3 linked regions of the Neurospora crassa OR74A genome follow. The protein of the gene in region 2 purifies or fractionates together with the protein of the main gene of each other region. This does not show direct contact. Links are inferred from orthologs where the notes say so. Each region holds a gene or a part of one and is shown on either strand. Other genes may lie near its edges. The genes, in order: NCU03269, NCU00488 and fba.

Region 1 (5,566 bases), on a different chromosome or scaffold from region 2:
GTGTCCAGAGACAAGCGGAAGCGGTGGAGTGTCTGCGGTGCGGAGAGGAGACAGGATCTCGATTTGGAGACTATTTGGGAGGATTAAACCTTTCGGACCTGTTAGTGGTGTGTTTCTCTTGGTCCGGTACAGTACCAAGAAACGACGTCCGTCACAGTAGCGACACCCAGACAGGCAGATGCGCCCGGTGTTCCCGATCTGGGTACGAGGACGAGGTTTTTCTTGTTTGCATACTGGGCGGCGGCTTTTTTCCAGTCTTTTATCCTTTTTTTTTACCAAGCATATCGGCATCGAACTCTTTCAACCATTGGGAAATATTGGCGGCGTTTGGTGGGGATGGAATTATTTCCTTCGATACCCTCTCTGCATGGGTGTCCGACAGTCGAAGGACGGACGCCTATGGCAGCAGCCGTTCTTGTGCGTTGGGTAAAGCAAAGCACTTTGCGATGAATGTGGTGTGGGTTTCGTTTTCAGCCATCATCATGACTGAGGTCAATCTGTCGTTGTTTTTTTTTGCGGCCTTCTTTTTCTTTCGCTCGTTTCGTTTAGCGACTACTGGTTGGGGCCTTGGAATGGAGTTGGACTGTATGTTACCATCGGATTTCCCTACGGCTTGAATAAGTTAGTCATAAGCGCTCTAAAGGATTCGCCTAGCCTTCTTCATATCATTATCAAAATGGATTGTGATTTGTTGTGGAATGTGCTTTTTGCTTCCTTGTGGCTTCCCTAGCGTACCCTCCTTGCTCATCCACGCTCGACAGGTTGACAAATAGCAATCTTATACGGGTACGGTGGTGAACATGCCAAAGATACGGACGAGCTTACATCGTAGGCACAGCGCATTTGAAAGGAATATGATGTCGTACAGTACTTCGCCCATTCACTCTTGCTATCCCCTCAGCCTCTGTTTACTCAAGATAACATACTCATTTCTCCACAATTCTGCTACCTGATTCATCGTCGAGGAAATCGAATACCCGGTCCAACCTAATGACAACCTGTGACGGCGCAGTTACGCGGAAGTGTCAGACCCTAAAGTGAACTTTGTCTGGCTTTGATAACCTATCATACCGGCGTCAGACCTTTAGCGATATAGGATCGTTCGTGAGCATGTTAGTATGACCATTGTAGTTTTTGCGGCTTGATTATTACTCTTGATGTATGGAGTGACGTCGAGCAAATATAACACGAATATGATAAACATTACACTAAGATATGACATCGATCTCAGTCAAAAGGTATTCTTCTCAAACTCTCCACCTGTCCCCTCTTCCGCATTTCCTCCGCCGCCGCCAGACTACTCGGCACCTTGATACCGCAACAATCGCCCCAGCCAGTCGGCTGATGAACATGCCTCTTGCCATCACTATCATCGTACACTTCCACCTCGCCGCCCTCCTCTTCATTCTCCTCGCTACCCAAGGCATTGGGATCTTGTTCGCTCATACCCTCCGCCGCAGGAATTAGCGATCCGAACAAGAAATGCTGCATAACCGGTAACTTCTTCAGCACCTCCGACACAAACATCCTCCTCATCCCGCCCTCAATTTTCTCCCAATTCTTGGCGCTACTGATATCGTCCAGCATCGGACTATGCCACCTTAAACCTTTCACCGTCTTAGTGCTATTGACAAACGCCACCTGGCCCAGGTACAAAAAGTCATGCCCGAACTCCTCCAGCGTCAGCTCCTGATGAATCGCCCGTGGCGTAATAAAGTGGTGATGCAACAGCTGGCTGGCGCCAAACAGAAAGGGCAAGAACTGGTAGTCGTCCAGCCCCCACACGCCGTGCGAGCCTGCCGGCTCGAGATAGTACGTCATCTGAATCAGGCGCATAACTTCTAGGTAGCGGGCGAAGACGCGGAGCACGACGGCTTTGAAGTCTGATTGTTCGAGGACCGAGAGCTGGTACAGGCACAGAAGCCACATGATGAAGTTGAGCTCGTGACCCGAGCCGTAGTCGATGCGCGTGCGGTTGCCGAAGGACTGGTTGAGGTAGGCTGAGGCCTCAGTGACGGCAGCGTCGGGAAGTTTGCCTCCCAAAAAGGCGGCGTGCCATTGATGTCCGCGCTGCTTGACCTTGTCGAGAAAGAGACGGAAGGTCTTGTTGCCGAAGCGGGAGCCGCCTTGGTCGTCTGGTGGCGACTCTTTGCACAACGCTTCGGTCTCGTCAAGGATGCGAAGGATGGCCTTCACGGGCTCGCTTAGGTCAGAGTCCTTGATAGCCGAGATGGGCGTGTCGGCTACGGATTCGGAGAGGGAGAAGACGAAAGAGAGGATGAGATTGAAAGAGGGAGAGGCCAAGAAGAGCTCGTGGTCTTTCAGGAGAAGGATCCGCCGGACGGGCGTCTGGAACACCAGAGTGGATGGGTCGGGGCGCGGAGGTAGGGCGGGGGTTTCTGGAACCGGAGTCGGGTTCGATGGTTCCTGCTTCCGTCGCCTGGGCTCTAGCTTGGGGATACGGTCTCGTAGATTCGGGATGGCCTGGCCGGCTTTGGAGATGGGTTGTCCTGAGGCTGCTGGCGATCCTTGGCCGGTGCCTATGCCTGACCTTCCTGTTGTCACTGATGAGTCCATGATGGATGAAAGCTGGATGTTCTGAACAGTGTGAAGGTAGGCTTCTCCGTGGTCGGTGTTGCAGTTGACCGTACTCGTTACTTTAGATAAGATGACTGATGGAAGAAGCTGGAGAGAGTGGTTCCGTGATGTAGGTGGAAGGGTCCGAGTGTGGATGTTGGAAGGGAAGTTTACCTACCTACCTACCCACCCCAAGGTAGTGACGGGCAATCCCCTGGATGCTGTGAGCATTCTAGTCTACCCCGCCGTAGAGCCATCGTGGGGCAGGCAAAGTGCTGACGGCAGAAAGCGTAATGGCGTTCTTTGGCTGGGCTGCAGCTTCCATTTCTGAAAGCTTGGCAGGGCCCGCCGCTGGGAAAGAACGGAGTGGGGCCACCTCAAAAGCTAGCGCCCGGGCTGCAGATCCCGTCGTGGAGGAACGACCCGCCTTCAACATCCCGCCTTCAAATCTTCACTCGCGCGGCCTCAGAAACAAGCTCGCTCACCACTTGATTTCAACCACCGTCCGTCAACCAAATCCTAAGCCCCACCTACCCTCACACCGACCCAAACACTACTCACATCATGGCCACCGTGACACCTGAAGCGTCTCTCAACGCCCTTCCCCGGGCGGATGGATCGGCCAGATACTCATATGCTGGGTACACGGTCACGGCCTCTGTCAATGGACCCATTGAGGCTCAGCGTCGGGACGAACATGCTTATGAGGCTCACGTTGATGTAATCGTACGACCCTCTGCCGGGGTAGGAGGTGAGAACATCATAATGGCACCACCACCCAGGCAAAGGACTGCATCTCACTTACTTTACTTTTCTATATAGGAACACGAGAGCGCCATCTGGAATTTATTTTGCAGTCTTCTCTTTCTCAAATCATCCTTGTCAAGAACTTTCCCCGTTCTGTCATCCAAATCGTTCTTCAAGTTGAGAGCACGCCTGAAAATGCTTACGTCAACACAAAACTGGTCCAGGCCAGTTTGGTAAGAGAATTCGAACCCTCTCCTCCCTCTGTTGGTAGGCTATAACTAATCCTGGCAACAGAACCTCCCCATCATACCGGCCTTGTTCCAGACTGCCGTTCTCGCTCTTCTATCGGCTGCTGTGCCAATGAAGGCAACCGCTACATCCACAGTGGTGGCGGTGGTATCCGACGACGGTTCGAAGAAGATCGTGGCTGATCCCTCCCCCCAGGATATCAGAGAGGCAACCTCGCTACATGTCCTTGCTTTTACCTCGCACGATGAACTGCTTCTTTCAGAAAGCGAAGGTGACTTCACCGTCAAGGAATGGGATGGCGTTTACGAAAATGCCCAGAAGATATGCTGTCAGACTGCCTCAAAGCAGGATGGCATCGATATGGTGCTTGACGATGACGCGTCCAGCCCAGATATGCGCCATTTCCTTCGGTCGACGCTGGAGACCAAAGTAGCATCCGACCTCCACTGGAAGTGAAGATGCATTCGGACCGGACTGTCTGCCCGTATCTCGTGCGTTTCAAAAGCCGAAGGGTTGAACAGTCGGCTCATGATGTTTCCGAAATGAGAACTCATAGGCCTTTTCGCCGGTTGACGGGACAAGTGCAACTTGCAATGCGACTCGATAATCCTGTATCCGTGGCAAAAAGCCAGTTCTGGACGGATACGAACCAGACACATTGCAAAGATAACCGCTACCCTCTCGGCACAATCACACATCACTCGGCAAAGTGGAGATTGTGATCGCGTTGGATATCAATCAGCGCAACGGAGTGGATAACTATCTCGAGCGAGATTTTACGTGGATTATGCACGGGTTCCTTTGACAAAACATCGCCACTTCAAACGCACAAGAGGTGGGTCCGACATAGGGGGTATGTTTGAATATTCCAGGCCAGGGCCAGACCCCTGTTTCATGTCGCCTTTCCCAGGCACTGATGTCACGGGGCATTACGGTCTTGGTGTCCCAGGTGTGATTGAAGAACCAATCGACAAGATTAGAACGGATATTATGAGTGCTTTCAATAAGGCACTGGGGTTGTGGGAGTTATCTAATCCGGATGATGGAGCCACGTAGCTGTGAGCCTCGAGCTGATGGTTTGGTGCCCCTGCGTTGGGCTTTTCGAAAGCGTCTATTCTTCGCCTCCCCATGTGTCAGGCTTGATCTTATGCAACACGCAATTCTTAGTCCCATTCCGACTCCTTGACTATTGGTTGTGTTCGCCATCTTTTTACGCGGCTTGGACGGCATCAATGCACAACGGCCTTTGTCTGATTCGAGCGGGTCAAACAGAGCTTCACGGAACACCACATGGGGCTGTCCTGAAGATGTACAGTGTAAGTTTTGTGCAGTGACAATAGCGAAACGAAAGCGCTTGTGTTGTGATGCAGATGCTGAATACCGCAAAGGTATATTGATTGATGCAGAATCGAGCTTTGGTGCCCTGCCCTGCCTGCGCTCTGGCCGGAGACGGACTGTCGGCGTCCTTCGGCAACCTGTGCCGGGAGATGCTGTCTGAGCGGCTGAGCTAGCGCCTGTACCCCGGACGTTCGCCTCCAAAACCCCAGCAGTACCAGGATACATGAGACGTAACTTAACACCTCGAATTTCAGTCTACCATGCTCTGGACCCCTCCTCGCATCACATTGGGGAAAGGGGTGGGAGGACTGATGAGAAGCTTCGAGTTACGCGCGAAATCCCCGAGGACGCCTCTATCACAAGCACTAGGACCATCCAAGAGATTGGAGAAGCTGAAGGCGCTAGTACATACACCGTGCTGTATCCATATTCTCCTGCAGATACGCCCATCTTGACACACCTGCTTCCGCGTTTCGATACCCGCCATTGCAGCTCTTTGTATAATGCTGTAACCCAAAGGAAACCGCACAAGAACGTCCCCAAACTTGAGTCCCGAAATGGAACAGCTATACATATGTAATAGTGTACACATAAGTGTTTGGTGTACACATTCCGGGGTAGCCTAGGAGATCCAACTTACCCCTGTGCCGCATCC
Region 2 (5,842 bases):
TAGCGTACAATAATTCTACCACAGAAACAGTGAAGATGTCAACAAGAAAAGTGCAAAACCATGTTCTTGAATCTGTAATGTATAAACAGCGGTGATGGTACAGTGCCCGAGTGACTACGACAAGTCTAAGGAAGAAAAACTGGCCACTAGTTTATCATAGTCCTAACGCTGCTCTGTTGGCTCATTGATGGTAACAAAAACTTTCTTCATTAGGTGGGACTCTCTGCTTTCCTATGTTCTTCCGTCTCAAAATCCGTTGTCTATGGAGATGTGTTCATGGGCTCCCCACCGCTAGGAACAGGATTTCCTGCCTCGGTGGCAGCTCCCATAAGAGGACCAGTTGCTTGGGCCGCAGCAGTCGTCGCAAAGTACCGCACATCCACATCATCATCCTTTTGCAACTTCTCCAAGCACGGCATGATGCGCTGCTGGATGAGCTCCTGACCCTTGGGCGACGGGGTGGCAGGCTTGCCCTCCTTCTCTAGCGTATAGATGGTGCCCTCGTCGGGCAGACGACGCAGAACACCGATGATGATGCCATATGTCTTTGCGACGTTAAAGCGAATATTGGGGATCGAATCGGCTGTGAGCTTTTCCAGCATCGGAAGGATGGACTTGGCAATCACATCCAGACTGACAACGGTAGCCAGGGTCTGTAAACACTAGTCAGACAGGGACTTCACTGATTTTCGTATGCCATTGAGTCTCTTACCGTGATAGCAAAGCAAGTGGTCATCCGGTAAAGGTAGTTGGGGTGGGCACCCATAGCCATAACCTTGGGAATAATAGCCTCGCTTGCCCACTCAACACCAAACACCTCGGTCAGCTTCCTTAGGTTTTGAGTAGCGGCCTCACGAATGGAGAAAACAGTATCTCCGAGCCAGCCCATGCAAAGCTGGCTGAGCTTCTCGTCAAAAAACTTGACGCCCAGCTGGCTGGCAAGAAGCGGGATGTAGTCGATAATAGCCAAGCGTACACGCCACTGCTTATCTTCGGCTAGCTGTACAATGGCCGGAAGGAGAGACTGAGAAAGGAGGTCGATGCCGATAACTTGGTTCACAAGCTCCAGTTTGCTGATGATGTGAAGGCGAACCTCTGGGAACTCGTCCTTGAGCATCTGAAGGAACATGGGCAGAAGATGATCAATAGTCCTTGTGCAATAATTAGCATACGCATCAAAGAAACCGTGTCTGACTGCGGGAACGTACTCTTGCTTGCCCAAGATAGGAGCGAGGCCGCTGATTTGTGTGCCAAGGGCAGCTCTGACATGCTGGGAGCTATCCGAGACGAGATCCTCAACACTTCCCATGATGTCATTCAGGAGAACGTTGCGGTCAACCAAAGCACAGAAGCCAGGGATCTGGCCGGCGATGGCAGTCCGCACCTCAGCCTCGTTATCTTTCAGGAGTTTTACGAATGCAGGAACAAGATCTCTGGACACAACCTCATCATCAACCGCCTTCGCAATCTGTATGTGCTGTTAGTCATCCAAGAATTGATATGAGGGGAGGCCAAGTGCTTAGCGCGACCACGAACCTTCTCAAATCTGTCGGCGATCATATAGCGGACCCTCCAACTCTTGTCCTCTATCAAGCTGCGTAGCGATGTGAGGAGCACGGTGTGGCTGGCTTGTTGCTCTTTGGGCACAACCTCCGCAATAGAGATCAAAATCTCGACTGTAAGGAGTCTGACGCTGTCCTGGTCGTCCTGGGCGAGGTGTTGGAACATGGGTATCATTTCCTCGATAACGATGGGAGCCGGCATCTCCTTCACGAACTTGGCCATGTTGGTGGCGGCCTGACGGCGCACCATGGGGGTCTCATCGTGGACGAGCTGTCCAAACTGCTGGCGCAATTGTTCTTGAATAGGCGGCGAAACTTTCGAGTAGGGGGTTGTATACAGGCCGCATGCGGAAACCTTGGACGTAAACCAGTCGGCCTTGGAGAGGCGAATCGTAAGAGGGATAAAGTATTCTTCAACTTGCTGCGAAGAGAGTTGAGTGCAGATCTTGTTCAATGATTCGACAGCCTAAAACGTTTGTCAGTACACATGCGGGTCGCATGACAAGAAGCCAGGAAATGGTCACGTATCCGTACCTTGTCTCGCACCACGGGCTCCTCGATAGCAGCGAGGTTCTCAAGGGGGGAAAGAAGGACATGTCCCCATGCGGGGCCCCCCACGTACTCGACAAAGTTACCAAGCTCTTCACTCAGGGCAACGAGGACCTCATCTTCATCTTCAACCGATTCTGCATTCAGAAGTGTCAGCAGCCGTATCTCAAGAGTCCCAGCGGCTGTGTAGCCAGAGGCCGGCGCAGGTGGGTTTGCTAGGCTGAAGCTGGGTCGAAGGGTTGGCTAACCATCGAGAAAGGGAATCAGCTCCTCGCGAGTGCGCTCGGGACCCAAAGCAAGGGCGATAGTCGAAAGACGGTGGATGGCGTTTAATCGGAGGACGACCTCGTCGTGCTGCCCAAAGTCAATCAGGGTTTACAGTCCATCAACCAGACAAGAAGGGATAGTCAGGGGTTCTGGCCGTCCGGGTCACCGCCATCATACCTTCAATTCGTCGATTAGCACGGCGATGGGGAAGAGCTCGTCGTTCGCGTTCGTCGCGTCGGCCATTGTGGGCGATTTGTGAAGTGGACGCGGAAGATCGCGGGGGAGTATACAGTCGGCGAGCGAGGCGGATTTGGACAAACTGGTTGACTTGGTACGGATGTTCGCTTGCGGGCGTGATGCAATAGACGGGGGGGTGTGGACTGGACTGGTAGCCGGTCGGGCGACGCTGTGCGGCGGCGGTACCAGTGACTGTGATTGTGGTAGAGAGAGGAAAGTGGATGCGTGCGTGTGCGCAACTTGGTAACTGCGTTGCTTGGGCGGGCAGCTAGGTAGGTAGGTAGGTTTGTTGTATTTAGGTTGGTTTTGGTTGCTTGGTTGAAAAAGAAAAAGCAAGAGTGACGCTTCGTCGGGTCGAAATCGGAATTGGATGCGATCTCTCAGCAGTAAGGTAGTTTCGCACACGGCGCCACGACACGGCGGGCAGCAAGCAGGCAAAGAAGGAATGATACTGGACGGTTTTGCTTGATAATAGGTAAGGGTTGCTTGATGGAGGGTTGACGGTGGTTCCTGTTCGGGGGGAGGACTCACCTACACCTAGAGGTGGAGATCGGAGCGAGCTTGGTGGTCCCCGCAGGGCCGCAACAAGGAGGAGCAGCAACAGCAGCAGCCAGGGCAGCAGGGCAGCAGGGCAGCACTTAAGGTCGCCTAACCAACGGCGGGACACAGCTGGACCCGGTCTTCGACACAAATTGACCTGACGCGCAAAGCTGGGGTCCAGTTCATGACGGGGGCCGGGCGGACAAGGGTGAGAACTGAGAAGGAGCACTGGCCACTCGCCATTTCAGCTTGGGACGTAGCCGCCCGTTCCCGTCGTAGGGGTGGCCCCTCAAGGCGCACCGGGCACCACTTACGTAGGTACCTACTTGCTGCACCACGAGAGTTAGGTAGGTAGGTACCTCTATCAATGAACCACTTCTTTCGCTTCCAACTCGCGACGTAAGCCGCTCTTTCTGTTCAACTTACATTTCTTCGTGAGGTCAGGTTGTTGGAAAACACTGCAGACTGACATAAAAAGGAGGTGCTACAGCTCCGGAAGAATGGCAACAGCCATCAAGATGCAAGAAGGGGAGAATGTTTAACACCAACTAACTGCCTTGTTACAGCCTAAGGTGAGTTGTTACAACATCACGTATTCCAATTCTGACTCACTAAAACATCATCACATGTTAATACTGATACTGGTTTGGGAATGTATGCTGTTCATATTTTGCTGTCTTATAAAGTCAGGCATTACTGCAACTAAAGCATCGCTAACCTTGCTTCATCAGGGAGCATGCTGTTCCAACGTGCTATTCTCATAACGGGAACCAATTGCCCACATATTATTCTACTCTTTCTCCAACATTCTTCACCACTCATCTAACTCATACTCTTCATCTCCTGCTCCGCCAGTTCGTTTTGCGAATTCCGCCCGGAATCAGAGCCAGATCCTCCAATCGAACTTCGCCCTGTGCTCCCACCGGTGCCGCCGCCAAACATAGCCTTTCCAAGCGACAATCCGGAAATCCTCTCCTGAAGAGCTGCAAAAGTGCCCGTAGGATCTCCAGCGGCGACATTCCGGTTTGGTGGCGCCGGACTTCTAGTCCCGGGCGTCAGAACCTCGTGGGCCGACTCCACGCCTGCATGCACGGACCCTCCGGCCGCGGTAGCTGCCAAGCCCGGCGGCAGCGGGCTCCGGGTGGGGCTTACCGATGTCCGCGATGGGGCGCCGGACGATGGTGGGTTGCTGTTCACATCAATCGTACCCGCATCGACAGGCCTTGAAAGCTCTGATGACGACGAAGCTTGCTGATACGCAGCAACACGCTCTGCTGTTGCGGCCAAGGCATTGAGGTCGCCATTCATCTCATCATCCGTCCGGTTGAAGAGTTGGTGCCACCACCGCACGTCGTCGCAGCGAGGGAATAGTATACGCTCACGGCCCCTGACGTGGTCGTCAACTGTGGCATCGTACTGCTCGTTCGTGAACTCCGAGCGCCGGCTCAGAAAGTAGGCCCACACGCTTCTTGTACGTTCTTGTAACCGTGCTTCGTGGCGCTGGCGCTCGTTGTTGAACAAAAAGGTACCGTACTGACAAGAATACACATGGTAGTATAAGCGGCGCAGGAATCGTTCGTTAAACTCGAAGCGAGTCGGGTGTTGCCTGAGGAGCTGGTAGGTGGCGTCGAGGAACTGGTGGAAGACAGGCGAGATATCCTTGGGTCTTGTTGCCATATTTTCGGCAACAGCAGGTTCCACGCCGGTCTCGATAGGCGTCCCATCCGCATCAGTAACGGCTTCCTTCCCGCTGGCCGTTTTTTTGCTCCAAAATCGCTTCGCGCCGGCTATGGCGTTCTCAAAATGGTCTGCCCGACCATCATTTTCCCCTGGCTTCACGGCGGTCCCTGCAAGTGCATCGCCGTCCACTGTAAACCAGTCCTCATGACTTAGATGCCCTGACCGAAGGTGAAACATGTGTCCAAAAGACAGCCAATCCTTCTCAACCAGCACAATGAAGCCTTCGAGAGTGCGATAATAGGGATCAAGCATCAGCTGAGAAAGGGCACTGAGCTGGCTTGTGCGATCCCATCCATCGGAACAGTGAATGAGAACATTGGAGTGCTGGATACCTACTCTTTGTGCAATCAAGGCTGATCCGGACAAGATACCGCTTATGTGCTTCAGCCATTTACTCTTGGCCAAGAGTTCTTTGTTCGGTGGGAAAGGTGACACATCGGCGTCCTTGATGGCGCTGATGACCTTTTCTAGCGACTCTCGCATGACGTGAATGTTGTCTATGTTCAGGTATTCTTTCTTGGCGAATTTGTAGTGCTCCATGTTTTCGGTGCCGTATCCTATTGCCTGCATCGCGTAGGAGTTGATCACTGGTCGAGCGTCGACAATCAGGTTTTGTTGCTGGGCTCCATATATCAGTCTCTTGCCAGTCTTTCCGTCGTAAAGTATAGTGCCACCAACAGTAAGCTCATCCTCCGCCTTCTGAATATCCGACATGGAACCATCCGTGTTCTCGCTCTCTATCATTAGGTCAGCCGTACTCGGGGGCGGGCTTTCAACTGGCATGTCGAGAGAGGTGCCGCCTGCAAACTCCGTCGAAGCTGAAAAGCACGCGCTGACTAGAGATTCATCCTGAATATTGCGTTTGAATGATATGCCGGGAAGTGGTTGCGAGCACCGTGAAATGGTACAGTTGTTGACGGGATGGCGGTAGGTGAGAGTGGGTATTC
Region 3 (5,822 bases), on a different chromosome or scaffold from region 2:
GAAGTCTGATGATTTTCTCGGTGACTTCCAGTGTTTCTTTGGCCAGTTCAAGCTTGCACTTCCATGAAGAGAGGTGGGCGGTGGGATGGGCTTCCCGAGTGACAACCAACTTTACGACATCCGTCGAAGGTGTCCAGCGAGTTCTGTGTTCAGAGAAGCCTGGGTAGAAAAGGTGAGGTGCGGGAAATAGACTGTTTAGGACGGACGCCTGCCCGTGACTCCATGGGCTTGAGGCGCGCAGATGGGAGAAGAAGAACGTGGTTCTTGCCAGTACTGGTTGGGAGCAGCACTGGGTGCGGTCAACTTTTTACACGCAAGAAAGTAGAAAGGGCTGCTACATTGAGAAGGATGAACGAAGGGGAACCAATGGGGGAAGCCGGGAAAAGTCCCTGTCGGTTAGTAAGCCCAGCCTTGTAACCGAGGGTGCCGGTCACTGAGCTTGCGGCTTGAGCCTTGTGGCAGCGCATCAACACATGGCAACCACAAGAGCATCAGCGGCCAGGATCATGATGCATTTAAAGATACTGCCGGCTCAACGACGCTATCCCCGGATGCTTGTTCACGTGGCTCATTCAGTTCGTTGCTTCGGCAGCCCGGACGGGAACTTGGGGAAGAATGCGGGGCAAGCGGGTCTGGATCCGGGGAGTCCCGGGTCTTGGCGATAACGGTTCCGTTCCGTGAGCTGGATGAACAAAACAACACGTCCCGGGAAGAGACGGGAGAATGGAACCCGAAGAAACCCAATCCAGGGGTAAATTCCACTCGAAAGGTTCCCCTGGGAACACTGGGGTTCTCGAGGCCCTCGACAGGGTCTCGCAATGGGGGGATGCAATCCAGAGTGGCTCCCAATGAGGTCATCGGTCGAGTCATTGTTCAGTTCAACAGCCCGTGTCAGTGATGTCTGTCAAGTCGGTCAAGACGCCCTGATGATTGACTGTCTATCACAGGAAGTAGCGTGTCCGAGGACCGCGATTGTCAATAACCTTCCTTTACCTACCTACGTGTCTCCAGTCGCTTTTATTGTGCTGCTACCGTGATAGGTAGTGTTGGTGGTGGCCAAGGGTGACAACGAGGGTCCGGCTTTATATCATATACGCCAAAGCCATAGTCAACCTGGAAACCATCATCACGATGAGTGTCGCCGATATTGAGCGGTGTAGTGGTGTCATGTCGGACTGAGGTCATTCATCGCGATCCTGAACCCCGGATTCCGATCTTTTCCATTTCACGTTCTCCAACAATCAAAACCACGACAAATTCGGCGAAGTCATGACACATTTGACGGGCACGAGACCTGTGGGCAAGGGTTTTGTCTGTTGTCTAACCTTCCGAAAGGAGGCTGCATGGCATATGGTCTCCTCAGTTCTGGAGATGAATACATATGGAATAGCCAGTGAAAGAATGGAAAGGGGAGGTGTGAAGTCTTTCGACGGGTTGAATTGGCGGTCTTTTGATTCGTTGTCTGGATAAAGCTGAAGCTTCATACACGCCGCCAACCAGACAGCGAGCAACATCGATAATATGGTCCAATGTTGAAAACACGGGATGACGACACTGGCTTGAAGAAAGTCTGCCATTGTGAGGTGACGACGGCCAAGACTGCCCTTGATGAAATGAATGTGACGGTCCGGCAATGCTCAAGCCGTGACAGTGGGGCCACCTGGCTGCGGATGGCAAGAGGGGACCCCCGGACAAGAACCCCGACCAAGCAGTGACGCGACACTGACAAGCAAGCGTCGGGAAGACGGCCGCTTGGCGCAGTCCACTCTTTGGAGGGTCTGGGCTGCGGGTTGCTGCAAGTGGTCTGTCATTTTGGAGACAGCTCCCTGCTCAATGCTCGTCGTCAACCCCCCACCTTGGACCACTAGTGAGGGGCACAACGCAGCTCTTGCTCTGTTTGGGTGTCCTGGCCAATGAAATCGCGGCTAGAGCGTCGGTGCTATGCTCGGCCGCCCCGCTGGCTGACCTACGATCCCTCCACTTCCTTCCTCGTCCTTGAACCACTGACGGGAGATTGTTGGGCGTGACTGTCGACCCTCTTGCAGTTTCTCTCTTCTCCGTCTCCTCTTCCCAAATCTCCTGAGCAGGACATCAACCCTTCGTCATACAAATTCCCGCAGTCTGCAAAACCGTGAGTGCTTCCAGTTCTGTCCCATCTTCCTCTTTTCATCCTCTTCATTCTTGTTTGTGATACCCTCAACCTGCTATCCTGGAAAGCGTTCTTATACTTACCTATTTCCACCTTTTCACACTAACAGCTACCCCGCGTCACGCAACTTCATAACCAAAACCAACAGTCAAAATGGGTATCTTCGATGTAAGTCTCCTCCAGTCTCATCCTGGCAATTGATAGCTTCGAAGCGCAGCTGATCTAACGGTGATACCCTCAACAGGAGCTCAACCTTCCCGCTGGCGTCCTCTACGGTACGATTTGGCCAAGCAGATGCGCTGCCCGATACCGGAACATAAACAAAATCTGACCTTTTTCTTTACCTCTAGGTGATGACGTCCTGAAGCTTTTCCAGTACGCTCGCGAGAAGCAGTTTGCTATCCCTGCCTGCAACGTCACCTCCTCTAGCACTGCCGTCGCTGCCCTCGAGGCTGCTCGCGACCAGAAGGCTCCCATCATCCTCCAGACTTCCCAGGGTGGTGCTGCCTTCTTCGCCGGCAAGGGCATCAAGGACTCTGCTGAGAAGCGCGAGGCTTCCGTCGCCGGTGCCATTGCCGCCGCTCACTACATCCGCTCCATTGCCCCCATCTACGGCATTCCCGTTGTCCGTAAGTAGCTTAGCTTGTCTTGTTCGGTTCAACTTGCCTTCCAAGATGCTGACATGGTCCTAGTCCACACCGACCACTGCGCCAAGAAGCTTCTCCCTTGGCTCGATGGCATGCTCGAGGAGGACGAGAAGTTCTTCAAGGCCAACGGCGTGCCCCTCTTCTCTTCTCACATGATCGATCTCTCTGGTAAGTCTGCCCCCGACGAATGCGACCGCTCTCACCAATACCCCAGCTTACTGACGTGCAATTACAGAGGAGCCCGTTGAGGAGAACATCTCCACCTGCGTCAAGTACCTTAAGCGCATGGCGCCCATGAAGCAGTGGCTCGAGATGGAGATCGGTATCACCGTACGTCAATGTCATAATGCGCTTGCTCCAAAAGGAAACAAAACTAACACTTGCAAACAGGGTGGCGAGGAGGACGGTGTTGACAACTCCGAGGTTGACAACGCTTCTCTTTACACTCAGCCCGAGGACATCTGGCAGATCGAGGAGGCTTTCCGCCCTATTTCTCCCTACTTCTCCATTGCCGCTGGCTTCGGGTAAGGCTGAACCCTACCCCTTGCTCTCGATTGATCAGAACTAACGAGATGACAGCAACGTTCACGGTGTCTACGCTCCTGGCAACGTCAAGCTCCACCCCGAGCTCCTTGGCAAGCACCAGGCTTACGTCTCCGAGAAGCTCGGTGGCAAGGACAAGAAGCCTGTCTTCTTCGTTTTCCACGGTGGTTCCGGCTCCTCCAAGGAGGAGTACCGTGAGGCTATCTCCAACGGTGTCGTCAAGGTCAACGTCGACACTGATCTCCAGTGGAGCTACCTCGTCGGTATCCGTGACTACATCCTCAACAACATCGACTACCTGAGGAGCCAGGTCGGTAACCCCGAGGGCCCCAACAAGCCCAACAAGAAGAAGTACGACCCCCGTGTCTGGATCCGCGAGGGTGAGAAGACCATGAAGGCCCGCGTCGAGGAGGCCCTCAAGGACTTCAACGCTGCCGGCACCGTCTAAATGGGAACTGGGAGATAATGAAAATGGAATGATTTGATGAGTACACTGCTTGATTCCGTTCGTGTTTATAGTGGTTGCCGGCCATTGAGACTGGTTCCATGGCGTGTCGGCTTTGCCGATACTTGGACGTATACTAGCAGGTTGGTTCACGGTGTTCCGGGGGGTTCAAGTTACCGGCTATGATGATGTTATGCTAGCCGGTTGGGTTTGGGGTGATACCGAAAAGTAGTACATACCCAATTGAAAAGTTGCCTTTGAGCTTCTCCCAAGTCCGTACACGGACCCTTCAGTCATGCTTGGTGGACATGGATCTTGTGCTCTCATGTGGTGGAGTATATAAGGCCCAAGTCAGACTCTTCGGTCCAACAACGAGGCGCTTCCCTGCGCACGCAGTCTTTGACAGGTTATGAGCAACCCATTTGGCGCAGTGGTTCCGATGTGAGCGGCGAACACCTCTCAGTGGTAGGAGGTTATGAGTTCGACCCTCAGTTAAGGGCCATCTGATGCACACGCATTTCTTTGTCTGATGCTTTGTTCCAGACACCACTTTTCACAGGCTGTCCGACGACAGTTCTGCCCGCTTCCGCTGCCGATGCAGTTTTTCAATCCATCGCTTTAACTACCTGCGTCAATAACGCTGAGAACACCTCTTCATCCTCATTACCGGACGCGGTATGGGGTTCTTTTTTTGCTTTTCTTTCTGCTTTGCTTTTTGTTGTTTTGGTTTCAAGGTCAACTTGTTTGGTGGGCATGCCTCTGTGCACGAGACAGCTGATGCCATGCAATGCAATGCAGCAAGTTCATGATATTTTGCACCAGGATGCAAACATGTTACACGAGATTTGCTGCGTCTGGGCAGCTTTCCGTACCTAAGAAATGCTATCTGTCGATTTGATTGTTGGGATGTTGCGGGTCTTGATGGGTTCTGGCAACGCCATTAATAATATTTTCGATTACCTACCTAGGAGATGGGATGGAAGACGATGTAACTCAAACAGTCAAGTACGCCGAAGGCCAAACAGGCGGTTCGAGTAATGATGAGTATCGGTCTTCAATTAGATGCTACTCGAGTTTTGGCGCTATATTAGCTTGTAGTGGATGATGAGTAGAGGTGCTTGAATCAAGCTTCGGTCCGTGCCTCGGCGATCGCATTTTCGAGGTTGACGGCGGTTGTGATTTACCCGGGTGTTTAAGTCGTTGGTTGGAACAAGAAGTGGAATGCTGTTCTCACAAACAGTAAGGGTTTTGAAAAGGCACTCGTCGTTACAGGTAGGCTGGGTTATGGTTTTGGTTCCTGGAGCCGATGAGGGTGGACATCACCAGTTAAAATGACCTTCGTGAATGGCTTCTGAAGGCAAAAGGCTGACCACTTGGAAGCATTGGAACACTTGGTCAAAAACTTTCATACACGTAAAAGTATATATCCAGAACCCATACCTATGTATAGCGTCCATAAATAAACGGGACTGCGCAAAGCAGAAATATTAACAAGAACAGAAACAAAAAGAACAAACCCATCATTCCGAAACTCCAATCCATGCAAACCACCCAAACCACCCAAGCCATCCCTCTCGCTCACTCAAAACATACCTAGAATCGATCACTCGGAAGGCTTCAAGGTGCTCACCATCCCGCCCGCCTGATCCTTCAACTTCTCCCAGCTAGAAGCAAACTCCGAGTCCGTCTCCTTTCTCCCCGCCGCGCCGCCCCTCTCCTTGACCTCCCGCTCGAGCATCTCCAGCTGGCGCTTCAGCACATCGATCTGGAACAGGCGAAAGGCATCCTCGATGCGCTTCCGGGACTCGGGATCGCGGGTGATGGTGCGAGTCGCTGCTGCCGACCCGGTCAAGAGGCCGGTCTCGCCGCCGAGCATCGAGCACCCGATGCCAAAGACGGTGTAAGTGGCAATGTCACCCCAGCGCGTGGGACGGAGGAGGGGTTCTAGGTCTGGGACTGGTTCTATTCCGCGTAGGTAGGTTATGTATGTTAGCAACGAACTGCTGAGAAAAGTTCTGCGAGAGAAGGGAAAAGGGAA

Evidence for each region.
Region 1: the proteins of NCU00488 (region 2) and NCU03269 purify together in Schizosaccharomyces pombe (affinity purification with mass spectrometry, with the first as the bait; 3 studies listed by BioGRID). This does not show direct contact. The link is inferred for Neurospora crassa OR74A from reciprocal best matches to the Schizosaccharomyces pombe genes paa1 and ypa2.
Region 3: the proteins of NCU00488 (region 2) and fba purify together in Schizosaccharomyces pombe (affinity purification with mass spectrometry, with the first as the bait; 3 studies listed by BioGRID). This does not show direct contact. The link is inferred for Neurospora crassa OR74A from reciprocal best matches to the Schizosaccharomyces pombe genes paa1 and fba1.

What each region holds. Positions count from the first base shown.
Region 1 is NC_026501.1:5,136,137-5,141,702, reverse strand, and holds NCU03269 (serine/threonine-protein phosphatase 2A activator 2), read right to left. Parts: upstream 3,039-5,566; 5' UTR 2,578-3,038; coding exon 1,228-2,577; 3' UTR 1,107-1,227; downstream 1-1,106. Other genes in the region: NCU03270 (hypothetical protein), read left to right, coding at 1-87; NCU03268 (hypothetical protein), read left to right, coding at 3,142-3,328, 3,400-3,557, 3,619-4,029.
Region 2 is NC_026503.1:4,029,068-4,034,909, forward strand, and holds the start of NCU00488 (protein phosphatase PP2A regulatory subunit A), read right to left. Parts: upstream 3,347-5,842; 5' UTR 2,622-3,346; coding exon 2,556-2,621; intron 2,466-2,555; coding exon 2,360-2,465; intron 2,249-2,359; coding exon 2,097-2,248; intron 2,029-2,096; coding exon 1,537-2,028; intron 1,469-1,536; coding exon 1,209-1,468; intron 1,152-1,208; coding exon 713-1,151; intron 654-712; coding exon 261-653; 3' UTR 1-260. Other genes in the region: NCU11185 (protein phosphatase), read right to left, coding at 3,978-5,842. UniProt on the Schizosaccharomyces pombe protein: Phosphatase 2A affects a variety of biological processes in the cell such as transcription, cell cycle progression and cellular morphogenesis, and provides an initial identification of critical substrates for this phosphatase.
Region 3 is NC_026505.1:218,458-224,279, forward strand, and holds fba (fructose-bisphosphate aldolase), read left to right. Parts: upstream 1-2,002; 5' UTR 2,003-2,131; exon of another isoform or gene 2,132-2,258; 5' UTR 2,259-2,302; coding exon 2,303-2,317; intron 2,318-2,393; coding exon 2,394-2,424; intron 2,425-2,499; coding exon 2,500-2,778; intron 2,779-2,841; coding exon 2,842-2,964; intron 2,965-3,031; coding exon 3,032-3,126; intron 3,127-3,186; coding exon 3,187-3,320; intron 3,321-3,375; coding exon 3,376-3,787; 3' UTR 3,788-4,807; downstream 4,808-5,822. Other genes in the region: NCU07806 (hypothetical protein), read right to left, coding at 5,388-5,746. UniProt on the Schizosaccharomyces pombe protein: Catalyzes the aldol condensation of dihydroxyacetone phosphate (DHAP or glycerone-phosphate) with glyceraldehyde 3-phosphate (G3P) to form fructose 1,6-bisphosphate (FBP) in gluconeogenesis and the reverse reaction in glycolysis.